2 linked regions of the Stegostoma tigrinum genome follow. The protein of the gene in region 2 interacts with the protein of the main gene of each other region in a pairwise test. Links are inferred from orthologs where the notes say so. Each region holds a gene or a part of one and is shown on either strand. Other genes may lie near its edges.

The links.
Region 1: the proteins of sh3gl3a (region 2) and rpl35a interact in a two-hybrid assay, tested with the Homo sapiens proteins (2 studies listed by BioGRID and IntAct). The link is inferred for Stegostoma tigrinum from reciprocal best matches to the Homo sapiens genes SH3GL3 and RPL35A.

The regions. Positions count from the first base shown.
Region 1 is NC_081367.1:48,545,844-48,556,240, forward strand, and holds rpl35a (60S ribosomal protein L35a), read right to left. Parts: upstream 4,006-10,397; 5' UTR 3,917-4,005; intron 3,720-3,916; 5' UTR 3,694-3,719; coding exon 3,683-3,693; intron 3,471-3,682; exon of another isoform or gene 3,397-3,470; intron 2,945-3,396; coding exon 2,792-2,944; intron 1,962-2,791; coding exon 1,817-1,961; intron 929-1,816; coding exon 905-928; 3' UTR 859-904; downstream 1-858. Other genes in the region: iqcg (dynein regulatory complex protein 9), read left to right, coding at 4,304-4,389, 7,934-8,072.
Region 2 is NC_081386.1:7,601,651-7,611,702, forward strand, and holds the start of sh3gl3a (endophilin-A3a), read right to left. Parts: upstream 4,110-10,052; 5' UTR 4,009-4,109; coding exon 3,958-4,008; intron 1-3,957. UniProt on the Homo sapiens protein: Implicated in endocytosis. May recruit other proteins to membranes with high curvature.

The sequences.
Region 1 (10,397 bases), on a different chromosome or scaffold from region 2:
GAAGCTTTCCAATAGTTATCCATAGAATAGCACAAGAAGTTATGACTAATCAAGTCTATGCATAGCACTCTAAATTTTATCCAATTTTCTCACAACACTGCAATTTTTAATCCAGGTATATATCCAATTCCCTCTTCAAGCTACTACTGCATCTGTATTCACAGAAGACTGCAATCCAAATTACAACTAAAGTGTTGCATAAAAGTTTATCCTCAAGTCACCTGTAGCTGTCTTATCAGGCAGCTTAAATCCATGCACTGAAGTTACCGATACAAATTATCCAATTTTTTCCTCATTTATGCAATCCCACACAACTGTAATCCTCATCTCTAGAACCTTTTTAGCTAATTTCTTCTGAACATTTTAGGAAAGTAAAAGCATACTTAAGGTAGCATGTGCACAAATGGGCATATTCCAACTGGTGCTGAACTAGTATTCATGGTCATAGCATACTTTCCCGGCTCATCCTCTTTTACCTCAAAACGTTTGGGATCCCAAGCTTGGTAAAAATTTCTTCCACCAACTACATGCAATACTCCAAATTCGGAGAAGTTAGCTGGTATTTTTCTCTTCATTCTCCCAATCAAAATCAGTTTTATTTCTGCAAGAATGAGTTTGATCAGTTGTTTCCATATAAAAACTTTAAACAAATATCACACACCGAAGGCACTGAGTTAAACCAAGGGAAGGATAAGGCTAAACAGATCCATTGCAGATTTCATGAATGGTACAAAACTGTTTAGTAATAAACATCAGTCACATCATACAGATTTGTAAAATGGTCATGCAATTTGTATTTCACTAAGAATTTGTTCCACGATCATTTACATACACAAGTAAGAACACAAAACCAAGCAATTTAAATCATTTCACTATTTATTGTCAATTTATGTACAGCTGCACTTTAGATCCTTGATGGGTACAGCATCTGGAAATTTAAAAAAAAATCAAAGGTGAATAAATAAAATGAACCATCCACAAACAGCTTACTATTTCCATCAAATGAGTCACAATACATTTAAGCTGTGCATATGTGGAGAAACACATTTGCCCAGCTACTACTCTCTTTGGTGTCATCACTAGCCATTTTATTTCCATGATTTTGTAATGTCTGTAAGTTTTGTGCAACTGAACAGATACAGCTTGACTACAAGCAAACAAACTCCCTCACAGTTGGGTTTTTTCCAAAAAAAAATCAATGATTGCCTCAAGCCAAAACCAGTAAATTGTGCTAGGTTTGTTCAAACATACTGCAGTCAAGATTGTACCAAACTTAGCTGCGCCAAAAATGACTTGAGTATCTAAAGAGACTGCAAAAAAAAAACAAAGCATTTTTTTAAAAACCTCACATTGTAAATCATCTAAATACCAACTAGCTTGGAAAATAAACAATTCAGCAATGGTGGTCAGCCTTCACAAAAATTATTTATTTCAGTATTTTCTAATAAGCCATTGCAGAAAAAAAATGCTATCCCTGACGGGACAATTCAGTGTCATCTGTCAAAGATATCTGAAGCAATACACATTTAAATTTGATGATGACGTGCTCCAAGTGAAACAAATGGTACAGACTGTTGAATAACTTGAGTTATTTTAAAACAGACAAAAACATATTTTAGAACATAATCAAGCTGCTGAACGGTAACACAAGCAGCTCAAACTCTGTGATGAAAGGAGAATTTTGATCACTATAATATACACACTAAACACAGCCAATAAACCTCTAGATGCCCAGGCCACCATGAGGATTTGTTCAATATTGGAAGATCAAATATAATAAAATCAGCATCTGAAAAAGATTGATTCTGGCACTCACCACACGAATTCTATGCCCAATAGCTTTAGCAGGCAGGTTACTGCTGAACTTTGCACGCACCATGCCACTGTTTCCATGAGCACGGGTTACTTTACCCCAAATGACACGAGTCTTGTTTGGTTTACCACCAGGAGTCACAGTGTTACTTCAAAAAGAAAAAGAAAATTACATTTAAAAACAAAGGTGAACAATGCTTTCTCAAGTGGAAACCAGTGAAGCAAAGAGCCATTGTTGCAACAGTGAACTACTACCCAGCTAGATGTTATCATTTAGTGGGTTTCTAATGTAGCCTTCAGAAGAGTTTGAGAAGTAAAATTACATAACCAAAGATAAATCCAAAAACAAAACTCAGCCACATGGATTCAACAATCTCAGATAATAATCATTCTCTTTCTTTCCTTATCACCCCCTTCCAGGACAGCAAAAATGTACCAAGCAACTCAGATAAAATTAGAGTGCACATACAGCTGCATAGCACTTTTAAAAATGAAAAATCCATAAACAATGCTGCGGTCAAAAACAAAAACACAACATGGAGCATTAAGATCATACTGCCAACCATAAACAAATGGTGGAGTTTTTCCATTATCAGCTAGTTGAAAGTTAATGAATTCAATAACTATCAAGAACAGATTCAAGGTGAGATCTACAGTAAACCTGATACATTTATAAGGATGTATTTTAAACGAGCATACATTTAAATCTGGTCAACTTCTAAAAGACTAATATGAAGCAGGTAATAAATTTTGGTCTTCTGTTAAATACTACACAAACTAAGATGCTAATTCTACCATAACGACAATTCACTGGAACAAACACATATGGTACCAGATACCGCAAAACTTTCATGCAAGTAAAGTCAAACATAGCAAGTGAATTCAAACAACCCCATTTTTCCAACAATGATTGTACAACAAACATTACAAATCAGTCAAAGGAATATAGCATATGCAATTCACAGTGATGCATACGTACTTCTTTGCCTTGTAGACATAAGCGCATCTCTTGCCCAGGTAAAAATCTGTTTCATTGCGGCAATAAACACCCTCAATCTTCAGTAGAGCAGTGTGCTCTCTCTGGTTTCGAAGGCCTCGTTTATAGCCTGTAAACACAGCTTTACACCACAATCTGCAGAATAAGATACAAAATGAGCTTTGTATTTTACACAGAAGCTCAAATAAATGATTAACTTTTCAATATAAAATGAAAAAGACATTAAGTCAAAGAATTCCAGATAGATAAATTAGAAGAGTTCAGATGGAAGATCACTTGATCAGGAATGTTAACTGCTTGTCTCCACAGAAGCTTCCGGATGTGTTTTTACAGCATTTACTGTTTTATTTGGTATTTCTCGGGTCCGGTCGTTTGTTTTTGTAATTAAGGCTCCATTGAACAATCTCAGGCAAAATATTTATCTATTATTTCGGATGTCAGCCCAGTGCATTTCCAGACTTTTCTATTGATTTCTATTGCAGAAGATTCTCTTTGTCGGAAAAAAAACCAGGCCAGATCTGAAATTCGTTCATTATCTCCCGGAGAGTACTAGTCACTTAGTTGAAAAATCTCATTTAATTTTACAGCGCGCCATGGATATCACTGAATCAAACGCACGAGGATATACTTTGAACAAGAGAATGAGGGATGCAATGCGAGGGTGAGTAGATATACGAGAACTGGATAGGCCTGTTGACTCTAAACCACTAGCCGAAACGATAATCCATATTAACAGGCATCAGAAGAAAAACGAACACGTTTGCAGAAGGGCCCCGGTATTCTACCCACAGCCCCTTGATGATATACCCAATCAGGCGCTTCTAAGAAGCTGCCCCAGCCTAAGTGTGCGCGGCCCCCAGGACCAGCTCTTACCTTCCGGGCATTGCGAGCGCGCTCGGGGCAGCTGGATCTGAGAAAAAGACAGGAGGACAGTCAACACCAAGTACAATCCGTTCGCTATCGCAAACATCCGCTGACATAAACTCTCTCAGATAATAAATATCTAAATCTCACTATATTATACAACAGATACTTCTACGATGAGGTTCCATTATATCATCAACAACAGTTAAATAGCTGTTAGAAACGAGCATATCTCTAACTCACCGCCGGCCCTGCTACCAAGATGGACGAAGAGGCTGCAGCAAGGCAGGCCGGGAAATGAACTGACGGAAGCGGCCAATTCGCCCAAACCGAACCAGACAATATATTGGACCAAATAATAAACTAAAACAAATATTTTTTTAAAAGCTACAGTTATAAAAACAACTAAACTTGGCCAATTTCACGGATAAAAAAATTCAATCCTAGAACTAATTTATTCAAAAAATAGGTGGAAATTTATTTTAAAAGCATGTTTAAATATTTATACATGCTCAGACTCATGAATGTCGTAATGCATTTGCTTTGTAGTGATGAACTTGACTGCAAGGCAACGCCGTGGACAGCTCAGTCAGTGTAAGCCCCGAAGTGTTTCCACGGTAACAGGCAATCATGTATACGACCGGAGTGAATAGAGAGGATCTTTGTAACTTTCCCAAAAGTGATTCTCCATCGACTACAAATCATGACAAAAAAGGGTGAGTTCGTCTGAGAGACGATTTATATGCAGTTATCTATGATCTATGAAGAAAACGGTTGACGGCAAACACACATTGCTGGAAAGGAGGGCGAGAGGACGGGGGGACAAGTCAATACAACACAGAGTTGTATAGCATGGAAACAGACCCTTCGGTCCAACTTGTCCATGTCAACCAGATATTCTAAGTTAATTTAGTCCCACTTGGCCCATATCCCTCTAAACCGTTTCTATTCATATAACAGCCAATTGACTCCCTGTGGCTGCTCATTCCATACAGGCACTGCCCTCCCTGCGGAAAAAGTTGCCTCTTAGGTCCTTTTAAACTTATGCTCTATGGTTTGCACTCCCTTACCCTGGGGAAAAAAAGACCTTGGCTAGTCACCCTATCTGTGCCCCTCATGATTGTGTAAACCTCTATAAGATCAGTCTTTGACTCTGCATGGAAAATAGTCCCAGCCTATTCAGCCTCTCCCTATAGCTCAAACTCTTCAACGTTCTTATAAATCTTTTCTGAATCCTTTCAAGTTTCACAACACCTTTCCTGAACACAGTATTCCGAAAGTGGCCTAACCGATGTCCTGTACGACTGCAACATGATATCCCAGCTACTATACACAATGCACTGATCAACAAATACAAGTGTACCAAATCCCTTCGTCACTACCCTATCTACCTGTGACTCCACTTGCAAGGAACTATGAACATTTACCCTGATTGCCTTACCAAAATGGAACACCTCAATTTATTTAAACTCTATCTGCCACTCCTCAGCCCACGTGATTAAGGTCCCTTTGTACTGAGATAACTTTCTTCACTGTCCAATTTTGTTGTTATCAACAAACTTACTTAAACCAGAATAAGAAAAGCAATTTTTTAAAGAAAATTGTAAGTTAGAATTCTGAATGTTGACTTTTGGTTAAACATTCATTACTGTTACCACTGCATTATCACAAGAATTTATTTTGAATTTCTTAGATTACAGTTTTTCAACCCATTCCCAAAAGATTTGCTCAGGGTTAAAAAACTCAAACACTTGGAACCAATTTGACAACATTTTTACTCTTTTGCAAAACTGCCATTGACCAAAGTCCAAGCTATTGCATTATTACCGCACCTTGGCATAACTTAGTAACGGAAACCTGTTTATACTAATCAATAGCAAAACGAGATTTCCATTATTATCACTTTTAAGATCTGGTACATTTAGGTGTAATGAAGGATATCTTAAAAACTAGTAGCTATTTATTATATACACTGTTGACCTTAATTCTTAAGTTTTGAAATATTAACTCTTCAGTCCATTAGTCTGATTCTATTTTAACTGGATTAATATTTTAAAAAAGATAACAAAACCACAGAATTTCATTTGAGCCAAATATTTCAAATGAGATTAACCAACCTTTGGGTACAGTTTAATGACTATCCTTTGAGGTAGCACTGTTTTATTTGATCATTCCGTACAATTGCAAAAACAAAGTTGGATTTCACAGCTTGCAGAAATTTTAACATAGCTATTAGCATTAATCTTACATTTTCATGACTAATCAAGGACCAGGATTTGCTCCTTTCCAAATTTTGTATCTCATGAATCAAAGGAATTCCTACATAAATGTTATATTCTCACACTCGAGAGATGCAAGGAAAACAATTCTAAAAAAGATCACAAGTGTCCCATTCATTCTCCACAAGAGAGATGTAAGGAAAGAGATTTTAAAACGGATCGGAAATATACGGTTTATTCTCTACAATATTAAAAACATGCATATACACACTTGCATACAGTCTCAAAATATACCACCTTGTACAATTTATCCTCCAAAAATATGACATTCACAAGCGTGATATTACAATTTTGAAATCATTGCTTACTTACCAATTATGCTTATGAGCCACTTAAAATGGCAGTGACCTTCCTACTTACCAATTGGTTGACATATTAGGCATAGACTCACCTAATATGTAGTTCTGGAACTAAATCTGTCCGAAGTAAATCTGATCACACTTACTATCAGGAACCGTATTCTTCTTCACCATGAATTAAAGGAGCAGATGAAAGTCATCAAGATTTTTTAATAGAGTTGTACAGCATGGAAACAGACCCTTCAGTCCAACTTGCCCATGCTGATCAGACATCCTAAATTAATCTACTCCCATCTGCCAGCATTTGGCCATATCCTTGTAAACCCTTCCTATTTATCTACCAATCCAGATGCCTTTTAACTGATGTAATTGTACTAGCCTCCAACACTTCATCTGGCAGCTCATTCCATACACACACCACTCTGCATGAAAAAGGTGCTACTTAGGTCCCTTTTAAATCTTTCCCCTCTCACTTTAAACCTATGCTGTCAAGTTTTGGACTCCCCTCCCCTATCAAAACCTTGGCCATTCACCTAACTATGCCCATCATGCTTTTATGTACCTCTATTATGATACCCCTCAGCCTGAGATGCTCCAGGGAAAATAGCCCCAGCCAATTCACCCTCACCCTATAGTTCAAACTGCCCAACACCAGTAATATGCTTGTAAAGCTTTTCTGTGCCCTTTCAAGTTTAACAACATCTTGCCTATAGAAGCGAGATGAGAATTGAACGTAGTATTTCAAAAGTTGCCTAACTAATGTCCTGTACAACCACAACATGAATCTCAACTCCTATACTCAGTGCACTGAGCAATAAAAGCAAGCATACCAAACGACTTCTTCATTCTCTATCTGCCTATGACTCCACTTTGAAACGAACTATGAATGCACACTCCAAGGTCCTTTGTTTGGTAACACTCCCTAGGACCTTACCATTAAATATATAAGTCCTACACTGATTTGCCTTACCAAAATGGAACAATTATTTAAACTAAACTGCATCCGCCATTCCTTGGCCCATTGGCCTACCTGATCAAGGTCCTGTTGTACTCTGAGATAATCTTCTTCATTATCTACTGCATCACCAGTTTTAATATCATCTGCAAACTTCCTAACCATTCCTTCTATATTCACATGCAAATCATTTATATAAAATGACAAAAAGCAGCAGACTCAGTACCAGTCCTTGCAGCAGATAGCTGGTCATAGGCTGCCAGTCATAACAGCAACTCTCGACCACCACCCGCTGTCTCCTACCTTCAAACCAGTTTTGATTCCAGATGGCTAGCTCTCCCTGGATTCCATGTCATCTAATCTTGCTAAACAGGAATGGATGTAATTGGAAATGGAGCCCATAGAGAAAAAAAAAACAGCAGTTGGACAGACAAAAGAAAGGTTGGCTAGCTGGAGAGAAGGAAAAGCTGCTAAGGGGCACCATTAGTGAGTGAAAATGCATTAGCTATGGTGACAGCAACTCATGATGACGAGGCCTGGTGTGTGGGGGTGGAATAAGGTGTTCAGGCCCTAAAATTATTCATTGGTTGATTGTTTTCATGTTTTCACAGGACTCAATATTGAGTTCTGAAGGTTGCAGGGTCACGAGGCAGAATATGAGATGCAATCAAATCCTTGCTTAAATACAGTATAACCTGTTTTCCTTCTTGTTTTTTTTTTAAAAAAGAGAGGCTGAGGAAATACAACCACTTTCGCAGGGGGATATTCTTCGCATTGGCACCGTGTTAGGGGATTGTGTAGATCAATTAACCATTCTTGGCCTCATCATGCCAGTCTCCTATGAGGAAAAGACAGATGTAACCAGTGTAAGTGATTCCATGAATATTTGACCATCTGTCTATGTATCACATAGACTGCATCCTCAGAGGTATTAAATTAGTTGTTGATGTTTCAGATCATCAAGGGTGTCGAACATCCTGTCATTTAGAAGAATGTGTGTATCCCAAGGAAACCTGTAGCAGCAGGGAGAAAGTGAAATAAATGTAAAAATTGGAGCAATTGCAAATACATAACCTTGGATCTGTCTTAATTTCAATTATTTAATGGTTACTGGAATTAACTGTATTCCACCAACCTTAGAGTGAAATAGCAGGACAGACTGTAACTGTCTCTTTGCAATGGTGCTTGGTATTTGCTGTAGTACTTCATAGAAAGATAGAATTCCTGCAGTATAAAAAGAAGCCATTTGGACCATCAAGTCCACACCAGCTCTCCAAGGAGCATCCCACCTTATCCCTGTGACCCTGCATTAATTAGCCTGCACATCCCTGGACACTACTGGTCAATTTACCAAGGCCAAACCACCTAACTTGCACATCTTTGCACTGTGAGAAGAAACTGGAGCACTGGACAGAAACCCCAGCAGACACAGGAAGAACGTGCAAAATCTGCACAGACAGTAGCCTAAGGCTGGAATCAAACCTGGGACCCTGGCACTGTGAGGCAACAGTACGATCAACAGTGATAATGGGAACTGCAGATGCTGGAGAATCCAAGACAACAAAATGTGAGGCTAGCTGAACACAGCAGGCCCAGCAGCGTCTCAGGAGCACAAAAGCTGACGTTTCGGGCCTAGACCCTTCATCAGAGAGGGGGATGGGGTGAGGGTTCTGGAATAAATAGGGAGAGAGGGGGAGGCGGACCGAAGATGGAGAGAAAAGAAGATGGGTGGAGAGAGTATAGGTGGGGAGGTAGGTCAGTCCAGGGAAGACGGACAGGTCAAGGAGGTGGGATGAGGTTAGTAGGTAGATGGGGGTGCGGCTTGGGGTGGGAGGAAGGGATGGGTGAGAGGAAGAACAGGTTAGGGAGGCAGAGACAGGTTGGACTGGTTTTGGGATGCAGTGGGTGGAGGGCAAGAGCTGGGCTGGTTGTGTGGTGCAGTGGGGGGAGGGGATGAACTGGGCAGGTTTTGGGATGCAGTGGGGGAAGGGGAGATTTTGAAACTGGTGAAGTCCACATTGATACCATTAGGCTGCAGGGTTCCCAAGCGGAATATGAGTTGCTGTTCCTGCAACCTTCGGGTGGCATCATTGTGGCACTGCAGGAGGCCCATGATGAACATGTCATCTAAAGAATGGGAGGGGGAGTGGAAATGGTTTGCGACTGGGAGGTGCAGTAGTTTGTTGCGAACTGAGCAGAGGTGTTCTGCAAAGCGGTAACAAAGCCTCTGCTTGGTTTCCCCAATGTAGAGGAAGCCACACCGGGTACAGTATCCACTTTGGCCACATTGCCCTTGTACAGGTATAAACAAATAGAATGATCTGTATATTTAACAAGTTTGATCACCTCAATGCAAAGTGTAAATATATTCGACTTATCGCTGTGCAAAAATTTTGTTACCCACGATATAGAATTGAAAAGGGCTTGCAAATTAAACCGGAACAGAATTCATTGAAAACCTGCTCCCAGCCAGTTCCTTCATTTTGACGGACACAAAAATTGTTGGTCACCTATGGTAAGAGGAGATGAGGCCCTCGCAAAATTTGTCCACTGAGTTTAGAAATGGGATAGTCAAAAATTGTAACCTCTTTTGTTACAGGTTTCATACTAACGACCACCAGAACTGGCAAACAGTAGATGTATGACAAAACCCCAGTTATTCAGCCATGTTAGAACATAGAACATAGAACAGTACAGCACAGAACAGGCCCTTCAGCCCACAATGTTGTGCCGACCATTGATCCTTATCTACCATCTGCCTTATCTACTACACTTCTCGCATTAAAACGATGCACCTCAGACCACCTATCCCTTTGTGTTCATCATCTGCTCCCCGACTAATATTCCCTTTAGTCACACGGACTCCATTATCTAGTTCCCTACAGGCTTTCGTTACTACCTCTTTTCTGTCCAATGTTTGGTTCCCATCCCCCTGCCACATTAGTTTAAACCATCCCCCACAGCATTAGCAAAAGCACCCCCAAGGACATTGGTTCCAGTCCGGCTCAGGTGTAGATCATCCAATTTGTAATAGTCCCATCTTCCCCAGAAGCGGTTCCAATGTCCCAAAAATCTGAACCCGTCCCTCCTACACCATCTCTCAAGCCACATATTCATCCTGGTTATTCTTTCATTTCTGCACTGACTAGCACGTGGTGCTGGTAGCAATCCTGGGATTACTACCTTTGAGG
Region 2 (10,052 bases):
AGGTGTAGAGCTGGATGAACACAGCAGGCCAAGCAGCATCTTCTTGCCCTGCTGTGTTCATCCAGCTCTGCATCTTGTTATCTCACAATACTAGCACAGATAATTTTCATGGATCGAACACATTTGTACAACAATTGTAATATGTGTGCATTGTGTTGCTAGCAATGCTTTTCAGGGTGAGAGGAAAAAAAATTGTCCGCTGAGCATTGTAGAAATTATTTTGTAAAATAGCTAATTATAATGGCTGGATATCTGAAAGCTAGTTGTTACACAGTTGTCACAATGACACAAGATTATGGTCTTGTTAAATACTTGTAATAGCATCTGAGCCACAAGAATTGATGTCATTAGCACCAATATTTGAAATTAAAATCTATGACAGAAGATATTTTTTGCTCCTAAGAAACTGCACACATCAATACACAGCTGGAACTAATAGACTCCTCAGGCTATGTTATTTACAGAGAATATATTAAAAAAAATTGATACTGGAATATTATACATGAAATGTCTCCATAATGCAAACCTCCACAATAACGATCCATGAGGTTTAAAATGGGACATTAAGGAAAAACAAAAATCAATGTGAAATTAATATCCATAAATATGTGAAAGCCTTTCAAAAGCGAATTAGAACAAAACATGAACTGGCACTCGGTGGTCATTTGTCACACCACAAAAAAATCTCAATGAGAAATAGCTTTGCCTATATCAACTGTCATTGGTTAAATACTAGAATACATGTCTGTATAAAGTAGTGTTGGATTTGATCCCCCTTCTGGGGTCCTTACAGGATCATTTAGTCCAACAGGTTGATGCCGAATTGTTGGAGCTGCTGCCATTCAATGAGATGGCAAACCCAGGTTTCCCATGCTTGTTCAACAGGCTCCTTGGCACTACTCAAAGAAGGGGAGGCGATTCATGGCATTTTAGAAACATTTATTTCTCAACCAACACAAGCCAAAATGCAATAAGTGATCATTTATCTCATCACTACCTCACGGTGCATAAACAGCCCAGCCATCTGCCTGCAAAACAATCTCTCAGATAATTCACTGGCTCAAAAGAATTTGGGGGATATCATGAGCACATGAAAAGCATTATAAGCATTCTAAGCTGCACAATTTCAATTACAAATAAAATGTGTTGCATTAAAAAAGTCATAGTTTTCATTGTTAAGGATTCTATTATCCCTTTAAGCTAATTCCTGATACAGGGGCTTCTGCTAGAATACGACAGTTGCATTCTTGCGCAACATCGTGTTATAGAAAATTGCGCACTGGGAAAAGTGGGTGTAGGGCAGACCACCAAAAGGTATCACTCAACAATCACAACACAAAGGATAGCACAGCTTGAATAAATGTTTAATTTGTATTGAATAATGAAATAAAAGGAAATTTAATACCTTGTCTTGAAAAAAATGTCAAGATGTCTTGATGGGAGGGGTGGTTTTGAGGTTGCAGTGTTGTTAATACAGAGCCTAAGGGTTGTCATCATCATCATCATCATTATCTTCAAGTGCAGTTGTGGTGCAGGGTTACAGCAAAACAAACAGTTAATCCACAAGTATTTGGCTGTGGTTCATTGTCTTCTGACTGTTTCTTGGGGATTGGCTTTCATCACCTGGTTGCTTCTTACTAACATTCTTATCACTTTATCCTCACATTTTTGTGGGTAACACGGCAGAATTAGCAAAAATAAAACCAGAGTGCTGTACTCGCAGGGAGCGCTGATGACCACGTGATGCTGGCACGGAGACTCTTTCAGCGCTAACACTGCGCATGCTCAGCACAAAGCCCGCAAAACAACCACACGATGTTGACGCATACTCCATGGAATCACATTATAGCCAATACGAAGATCACATTTTAGAAACAGCATTCCCTTATTCATCAGTCGCGTTATAGCCAATTCGCTCTGTCAGAACACACATTACAGCAGAAACCCCTGTATAACTTTCAATATCATATTCAAGCATAATTTCAATAGGTAACAATGGATGTCGGTGGATTAAAACATTTACAATTTCTTTATGTTTATCTTTATTAGAATGGCCACTTTGACAGGGGTAAGCACTGCTCGTGTTAGGAGGTTCCAGCTGGGAGTCGGCTGAACTGCAACAACTTAGCAACTGAACTTCAGTCCCCAGGGTTTCTATTCACATTTCTGCTAGAAAAGAATTAGCTATCAAACTGCTCAGAACAGAACTACACTTGGTTTTAAGGCACTGCACTGTGAAACTCACTTCACAAGTTGATGATTAAGAACAGAGTATTCGGGCAGGATACTTAAAGCATTATGGAGCCAGCATCAGCTCCCTCAGGAGCAAGGGACATAACGGAAGTCACTTTGGTGAAAGTGAATATCCAAGCTTTCCTGACAGAAGCAATAAAGTACTTGAATTTTATTCTTATGGTAGTCAGCCTATAAAACCCACATTCAACATTACTAATCTGAAATAGCTATAAATCGACTTGATTTGATTTACTATTGTTACATGTGTTGACATTCAGTGAAAAATGAGGTGATGGCCTAGTGGCATTATCACTGGGCTGTTAATTCAGAGCCCCAGATAACATTTAGGGACTCAGGTTCAAATCCTGCCACGGCAACTGGTGCAATTTGAAGTCAATAAATATCTGGAATGAAGAGTCTAATGATGATTGTGAATCCATTGTCGATTGTCAGGAAAAGCCCATCTGGTTCACTAATGTCCTTTAGGGAAGGAAACTGCCATCCCTACTCAGTCTGGCCTCCATGCTATAGGAAGGATATTATAAACTGGAAAGAGTGCAAAAGAAACTTACATGGATGTTGCCAGAACTGAGTTGTACAGAGAGGCTGGACAAGCTAGGACTGTTTTCTTTACAGCATAGAAGACTGAGGGGGCAAATCTCAAAGAAGTCTAAGAGAGGCATGGATAAGGTGAATGCATTCAGTCTTTTTCCCAGGGTTGTGGAAATCGAGGACTAGAGGGCCTCAGTTTAAGGTAAGAGGGGAATGAATACAGGGGAACTGGAGGGGCAACTTTTTTTTTTACACAGAGGGTGGTACGCATATGGGATCACCTGCCAGAGGAAGTGGTTAAGGCAGGTACAGTAACAACATTTAAAAGGCATTTAGACGAATACACGGAAAGGGAAAGTTTAAAAAGATATGGGTCACGTGCAGGAAAATGGGGTTAGCATGGATGGACATTTTGGTCGTCATGGACCAGTTTGGGCCAAAGGGCCTGTCTCTGTGCTGTAGGGCTCTATGACTCAGTTTTGTTTTGTTTGCGATCCAGGCAATTCATACTGTACATCAGGGTGATAGAACAGAATGCAGAGTTTGGGTTATGGCTCCAGAGAAAGATCGACACTAATGTATGAGGGATCCATTAGTAAGTCTGATAACAGCGGGGAAGAAACTGTTCTTGAACCTGTTGGTATATGTTTTCAAACTTTTGTATCTTCTGCCTGACAGAAGAGGGAGGAAGAGAGTATAAGCGGGGTGGGAAGGATCTGTGATGATGTTGGCTGTTTTCCCAAGGCAGCCCAAAGTATAGACAGGGTCAATGGTAGGAATGCTGGTTGGATGATGGACAGGGCTGCATTCACAACTCTCTGTAATTTGCAGTCTTGGACAAAGCAGTTGCTGTACCGAGCTGTGATACATGTGGAAAGGATGCATTCTATGGTGCATCTATAAAAATTGGTAAGAGTCACTGTAGACATGCCGGAGTTCCTTCGTGTTCCGAGGAATTAGAGGCATTAGTGTGCTTTCTTGACTGTAGCATCAATGTGGGTGGACCAGGACAGATTGTTGAGAATATTTACTCCCAGGAACTCTCTATCATCTTCACCTCGGCATCACTGATTCAGATAGGGGCTGCTCTCCACTCCCCTTCCTGAAGTTGATGACCAGCTCCTTCATTTTGCAGACATACATACATACATTTAAGGAAGTGGACAGTACCTTGATGGTCAGCTGCGTACTAAGCAACTCTGGTGTGACTCTGGGCTGCATTCAGGCACGGCATTTGCTGCAGAGTAGCTGAAGGACCCATGTTTGGCTAGCCTTGACTTTCTCTGGGCTCTCTTCTCAACTTGTTCAGCTTTCAGTTTCTGATTGAGTCATCCTTCAGTCTCTGTGAAAGGTCATGATCATGGTCATCAGTGACTTCCTCATAGCTGAGAATGTCTACTATATTTTTATTAAGACATTTTCAAGCAGGATAGAAGTAAAGAAACCCAGGAGATTCTAACCTCTTGGCCAGTTCACTGCACAAAAGGGTTTTTGGTGTATGACTGCCAGCCCTTTGATGCACCAGCCAAGCCACATTCAGATGTCACTGGCTTAGCAATGGGTACATTCTGATGAAAGTAGTATACTCCAGGGTCTCCAAGTTGTAATCTTGTCTTGCCAAGAATGTATTTGTGACAATGACGGGAGAAATGGTTTAGACTTTGTCACTTGAATAGCATTTGTTGCCCTGATCTCCCAGTATTCATCTGTACATGGAGGATACAACCTGATAAATTTGACGTATGCAGTCCTCAAACTTTTCCATACTCTTACACAGCTCAGGCAAAATTGCAGATTTTGCAATGTTGCATGTTGATTTCAGCATACAATGGCAGATTGCTGGTAATCGTGGAACCTAGCTATGTGAAATATCAACAAATCTCAAAACTCCACTGTCACATCATCAGTGCTGACTGATAGCAGTGTGACAGCATCCTTGAGAATGACATTTGTCTTCTTGAAATTAATGGTCAAATCAAACTCTTTACTGACACGAGACACACAATCCATTTGCCACTGAAGGTTTTGTTTAATTTAGAATGCTCATTTGGATGAGTATTGACCGACATTGGTGCACCTTAGGTAAAAGAGATTGAAAATATTTCTGCCATTTTGTTAGACAAGTAAGCATCCTCTAGATGATTGGATGCTTAAACACAGCAGCACAGAGAAAGAACATACCTGAATGGAACAATGTCTGACCCTACTGCGGACCTCAGAAGAGTTCTGATGAAGCTCTTAGCTGTCACGAACAAGACATTATCACATTGTTTTACTGTTGAAATTGCTCAAGTTTTCTCCACTGAAACACGTGGAGGATCAGGCAGTGCGGCTGCGGAAGGACTTGAACAGATTAAACACGATGTCAAAGACTTGGCTGATGGAATACAACATGAGAAAATATGAGATTATGCACTTTGGTAAGAATAAAGGTATAAACTATTTTTCTAACTGGGGAAAAGCTTTGGAAATCTGCAGCAGCCCTAGTTGGGAGTCCTAGCTTAGTATTCTCTTAATATTAACATACAGGTTGAGTTTGACAAGCAGGAAGGCAAAAGCAATGTTTGTATTTATTTTGCGAGGGCTTGAATACAAGAGCAGAGATGTACTGCCAAGTCTGTATGAGGCTATGGGGGTCACACCAAATTTGGAATATTGTGAGCAGTACTGGGTCTGTGTCTAAGGTGTGCCAGTCTGGGAGGTGGTCTAGAGGAAGTTTGCAAGAATGATCCTGGGGATGAAGGACTTGTCAAATGGAGAAGCAGTTGAGGACTCTGGACTGCACTTGGAGTTTAGAAGGATGGGTGGGATCTCATTGAAACATACAAAATACCGAGGGGGCCTGGATAGAGTGGACGTGGAGAAGATGTCTCCACTAGTAGGAGAGACTAGGAACCAAGGGCACAGAGTGAAGGGGTGACCCTGTAGAACTGAGATGAGGAAGAATTTCTTCAGTCGGAGAGTGGGGAATCTGTGGAACTCATTGCCACAAAAGGCTGTGGAGACCAAGTCATTGAGTGCATTTCAGAACAGAGATAGATCTGTTGTTTATTAACAGGATTAAATGTTATGGGGATATGGCAGGAGAATGAGGTTGTGAAACATATCACTCATGAATGAATGGTACTGCAGACTCAGTGGGCCAAGAGGCTTAATTTTGCTCCTATGTCTTGAGTACAGATAAGTCCACATTAGGCTGAATGTCCTGATGAGATCAATGAAGGTAACATACATAGTAATCCAAATCAATTGGATTTAAAATGTTGCAAGTAAACGAAGATGTTTCAGCTTAACATTCTGGATTTAATAAGAATGGTATGCCCACTTAGCATCAGTACATTCATTTTAGCAATGTTTTGCCTTGGGGCCAACAGAATGTGCAAGACCCAATTGATGCCAATTTGGAATAACCTCTCCCAGTCCCAGAGAGGCCACCACTCACCACAACCCTCCTTGACTTTGCTGCTTGCTGCTCCCCTACCTGTGTCCGGAGTTTGCATGACATGATCAGTGTCATTTTAGCGATGTTTCTTCTACTCCCAAAGATACACACCTGGTGAGCACGTCACCTACAACCATTTCCCAGGCTAACCCTTCCACACAATTGCTCTTGCTCCTTTTCAAGCTTTCTGTTTCTTATTGCCCATTCCAGGACTCTAGTCAAGTTTCCATGTCAATTATGGGTTGTCTTGTGAGCTATCCACCAACTGCAAACAGTCAAACGAGTGCAAATGGTCCTGACATTCCAGCTTGCCAAAGATTTGACATCCTCTTTTTTTCAAAAAATCTTTTCAAGCTTTTAATGCTGGATCCATCCGCTTGATGAGTAGAGATTAAGATCCATTCAACAACTGAAGGTGATGTAGCAAGCTTCTTAATCACGGGCTGTGCAAAGTTGGTGTTGGCTGAACAGTGAGAAATGACGATCCTTACCACAGGTGGAGAGAGCCCATAGAACCCATTTCTATGCCATTCATGTTGGACTCATGATTTATAGCCGCTGTCTCTAATGCTTATGCTCTACATATGCCAGGGCAGAAGACTAGACTTGGATACCTTTCACTACCCAAAAGTTAGGGTTCCCTTTACCAATCTATCTGCTCGAGTCCAAAGGCAAAGCAGGGCATTTGGCAGCAACTTGATTGCAAAATTGCTCAGATTTTGACATTAGTCTCCCTTTGATTTGTGTCAGGGTTTATTCCCTAAGCCTTTAGGTTTCACAAGGTACCAATAAGGCAGTGAAGCTATTCACGCACAGCTGGGAGCTTGGCTCAAAGCATGACACACGCTGGTCTGCCTGCACAATGCCAGTATGGGGTCTAAACTACCTCAGAGTTCCTCTCAAGCTTCAGCTTGGTACCAATTTCAGTGCTGCCGCAAGTCACAGCTGAAGATTTGGCAATGGCGAGGCCGGACTGGCAGGAAAAGACTAACACATTTGGCTTGCTTTCTCAGATCTCCACTGGACAACAATGAAGCCTGAAAACGAGAAGCAAGCCATCACAAAAAAACAGAAAACTTCAAACTCACTTCACCCACACACTGCATATATCACGCTGACCTGCTTGACACATTTGTTGGACTTGCATACAATTTACAACTGTCAACACATTTCACACTGTTTGGTGTACACAACAGAAAATAGATATAGATTATTCAGTATCTGTGAAGAGAGAATTTACATCTAAACAGCACCTTTCATGATTTCTAAAATGATCCAATGCACTTCACAGCCAATTAAATATTTTTGAAGTGTAGTCACATTTGGAAACATGGGAGCCAATTTATGCACAGCAACTTTCTACAAGCAACAATGAGATTACAGCCAGATAAACTGTTCTGATGTCTGCTTCAATTTTGAATGAAGCTCAATGTTGGGGTGAGACTCGTCATTCAGGAAGTGGCTTGCTGCTTTTGGGGAGTGGCATATCTGTAACAAGAGGAGGATACATGTTAACTACATGTGAATGTTAACTCAACTGTTCTTACTCAGACAATACATGGGACACCACGTGTACTGCACTACGGCTGCTAAAACATATTTCCACAAGTAAGGTACAGAATCATACAAACCAGAAATGTCTTTCCACCAGCTGGAGTATGATCCATCCTGTCAACTGTTTCCCACCAATAATCGACATTATGGTTGCCTTAAAAGATGCAAGATGTTTGAATTCCTGAGTTCTGTAGTCCATTTGAGTTTGTTAAAACAGGTTTCTTGTTTTGCAATAGCAGGAAAAAATGCATTCAGTGAACAGGTTTACTGGACAGCCTGCTTGAGGCAGCAGCGCTTTAATGTAACATAGGCTGTACACAGCCTGTCGGAGTGCTGTTAAGAGTGCATGGAGAATGATAAAAGTCTCTCATCTGCATGCTTCCAGGTTGTCAGTTCTGGTGTCCTCTAGGAGCTCCATGAGTCAGGTGATGTTGCAATTCGAGGAGGTTTCTGGATGATTTTGGGTCGAACATGGCAAACCAGTAAAGGCAACCCAGCAGAGTCATGATAAGACTGGGTTTCTTAGAGAAGGCAACTAGTGCTGATGGTGGCTGCAATGGAGAACGATCTAGAGACATTTCATTGTGGCCAATATTAGTCCTTCAACCAGCATCTTTAAACAAAAAAATGGGGAGTTTGCTGCGTACAAATACATTCCAAGGTTGACTACACCTCAAAAAACAATTTAAGTGTTTTACAACCAATTTGAGACAGTGGTCATGAAAGGCACTCCTTAAAATAGAACATAGAACATAGAACATAGAACAGTACAGCACAGAACAGGCCCTTCAGCCCACAATGTTGTGCCGACCATTGATCCTCATGGATGCACCCTCAAATTTCTGTGACCATATGCATGTCCAGCAGTCTCTTAAATGACCCCAATGACCTTGCTTCCACAACTGCTGCTGGCAACGCATTCCATGCTCTCACAACTCTCTGCGTAAAGAACCTGCCTCTGACATCCCCTCTATACTTTCCACCAACCAGCTTAAAACTATGACCCCTCGTGCTAGCCATTTCTGCCCTGGGAAATAGTCTCTGGCTATCGACTCTATCTATGCCTCTCATTATCTTGTATACCTCAATTAGGTCCCCTCTCCTCCTCCTTTTCTCCAATGAAAAGAGACCGAGCTCAGTCAACCTCTCTTCATAAGATAAGCCCTCCAGTCCAGGCAGCATCCTGGTAAACCTCCTCTGAACCCTCTCCAAAGCATCCACATCTTTCCTATAATAGGGCGCCCAGAACTGGACGCAGTATTCCAAGTAAATTAATTCCAAGTAAAGATGCTGGAATTCAAGGTAGAGAAACAGGAGGCTGGAAGAACACAGGAAGCCAGGCAGCATCTTGCAATACTTTCTTTCAGTTCTAGATCATGATTGATCCTCAATTCTTTTGGAAATCATTAAGTCTGCGTCCTCTAGCTCCCAGCCACGGCTACCAACAATGATTCACTCTACCCTGTCTGAGCCCCTTATCATTTCATCTCTACCAAATTTCCTCTCAATATTTTCTTCTAAAGGAGAACCGCAGCCTCTCAAATTTACCTATTTAACTGTAAACACCTCACAGCAAAAGCTAGGCTGCGGACAAGAAACTGCCTAAGCAAGGTGACCACAGTATTTGCAGTCTCCTATCCTGCACATGATATTGAAGACCATACTGTTTTACTTTACAAATGAATTAAGCACTATGTCACACTATACAAAAACAATACAGCTAATGTCAAGTTTAAGTGGTCATTATCACAATGGAAGAAATAATGATATCTGGTAAGCTGGTGATGGGGAAGACAGCATTTTGTGTGAATTTTAGGGACAGCATTCAAGCATCTGAAGAAATTAGCATTTCTTTGCAGGGCAAATTGGCCGTATTTAATAAAACATACCTTGTGAGTTAACTTTTAAACAACAAAATACATTTTTATACAAAATAACACAGAACATGAATTCAAGGCTGTAAATTATCTCAAGCGTGGAAAACTGTTTTGAACAGTTTGTCCTTTTCTTGCAAATGCTTTTGGTGTCATCTAAAGTACCCGATTAAATTACAAATCTTGTAACACAGTTGTGGATGCTGCATTCTAAACAGGAATGCGCAATCTGCATTCCCTGATACACACTTCTTGCAAAAACAACAGAACAGTTAACTCCGCTTTCAGTCCACAGTTGCTGGCAGACCTGCTGAATTTTCCCAGCAATTTCTGTTTTTGTTTCAAATTTCCATGATCTGCAGTTCTTTGTTTCATTTTCGACTTTGCTGCAACAT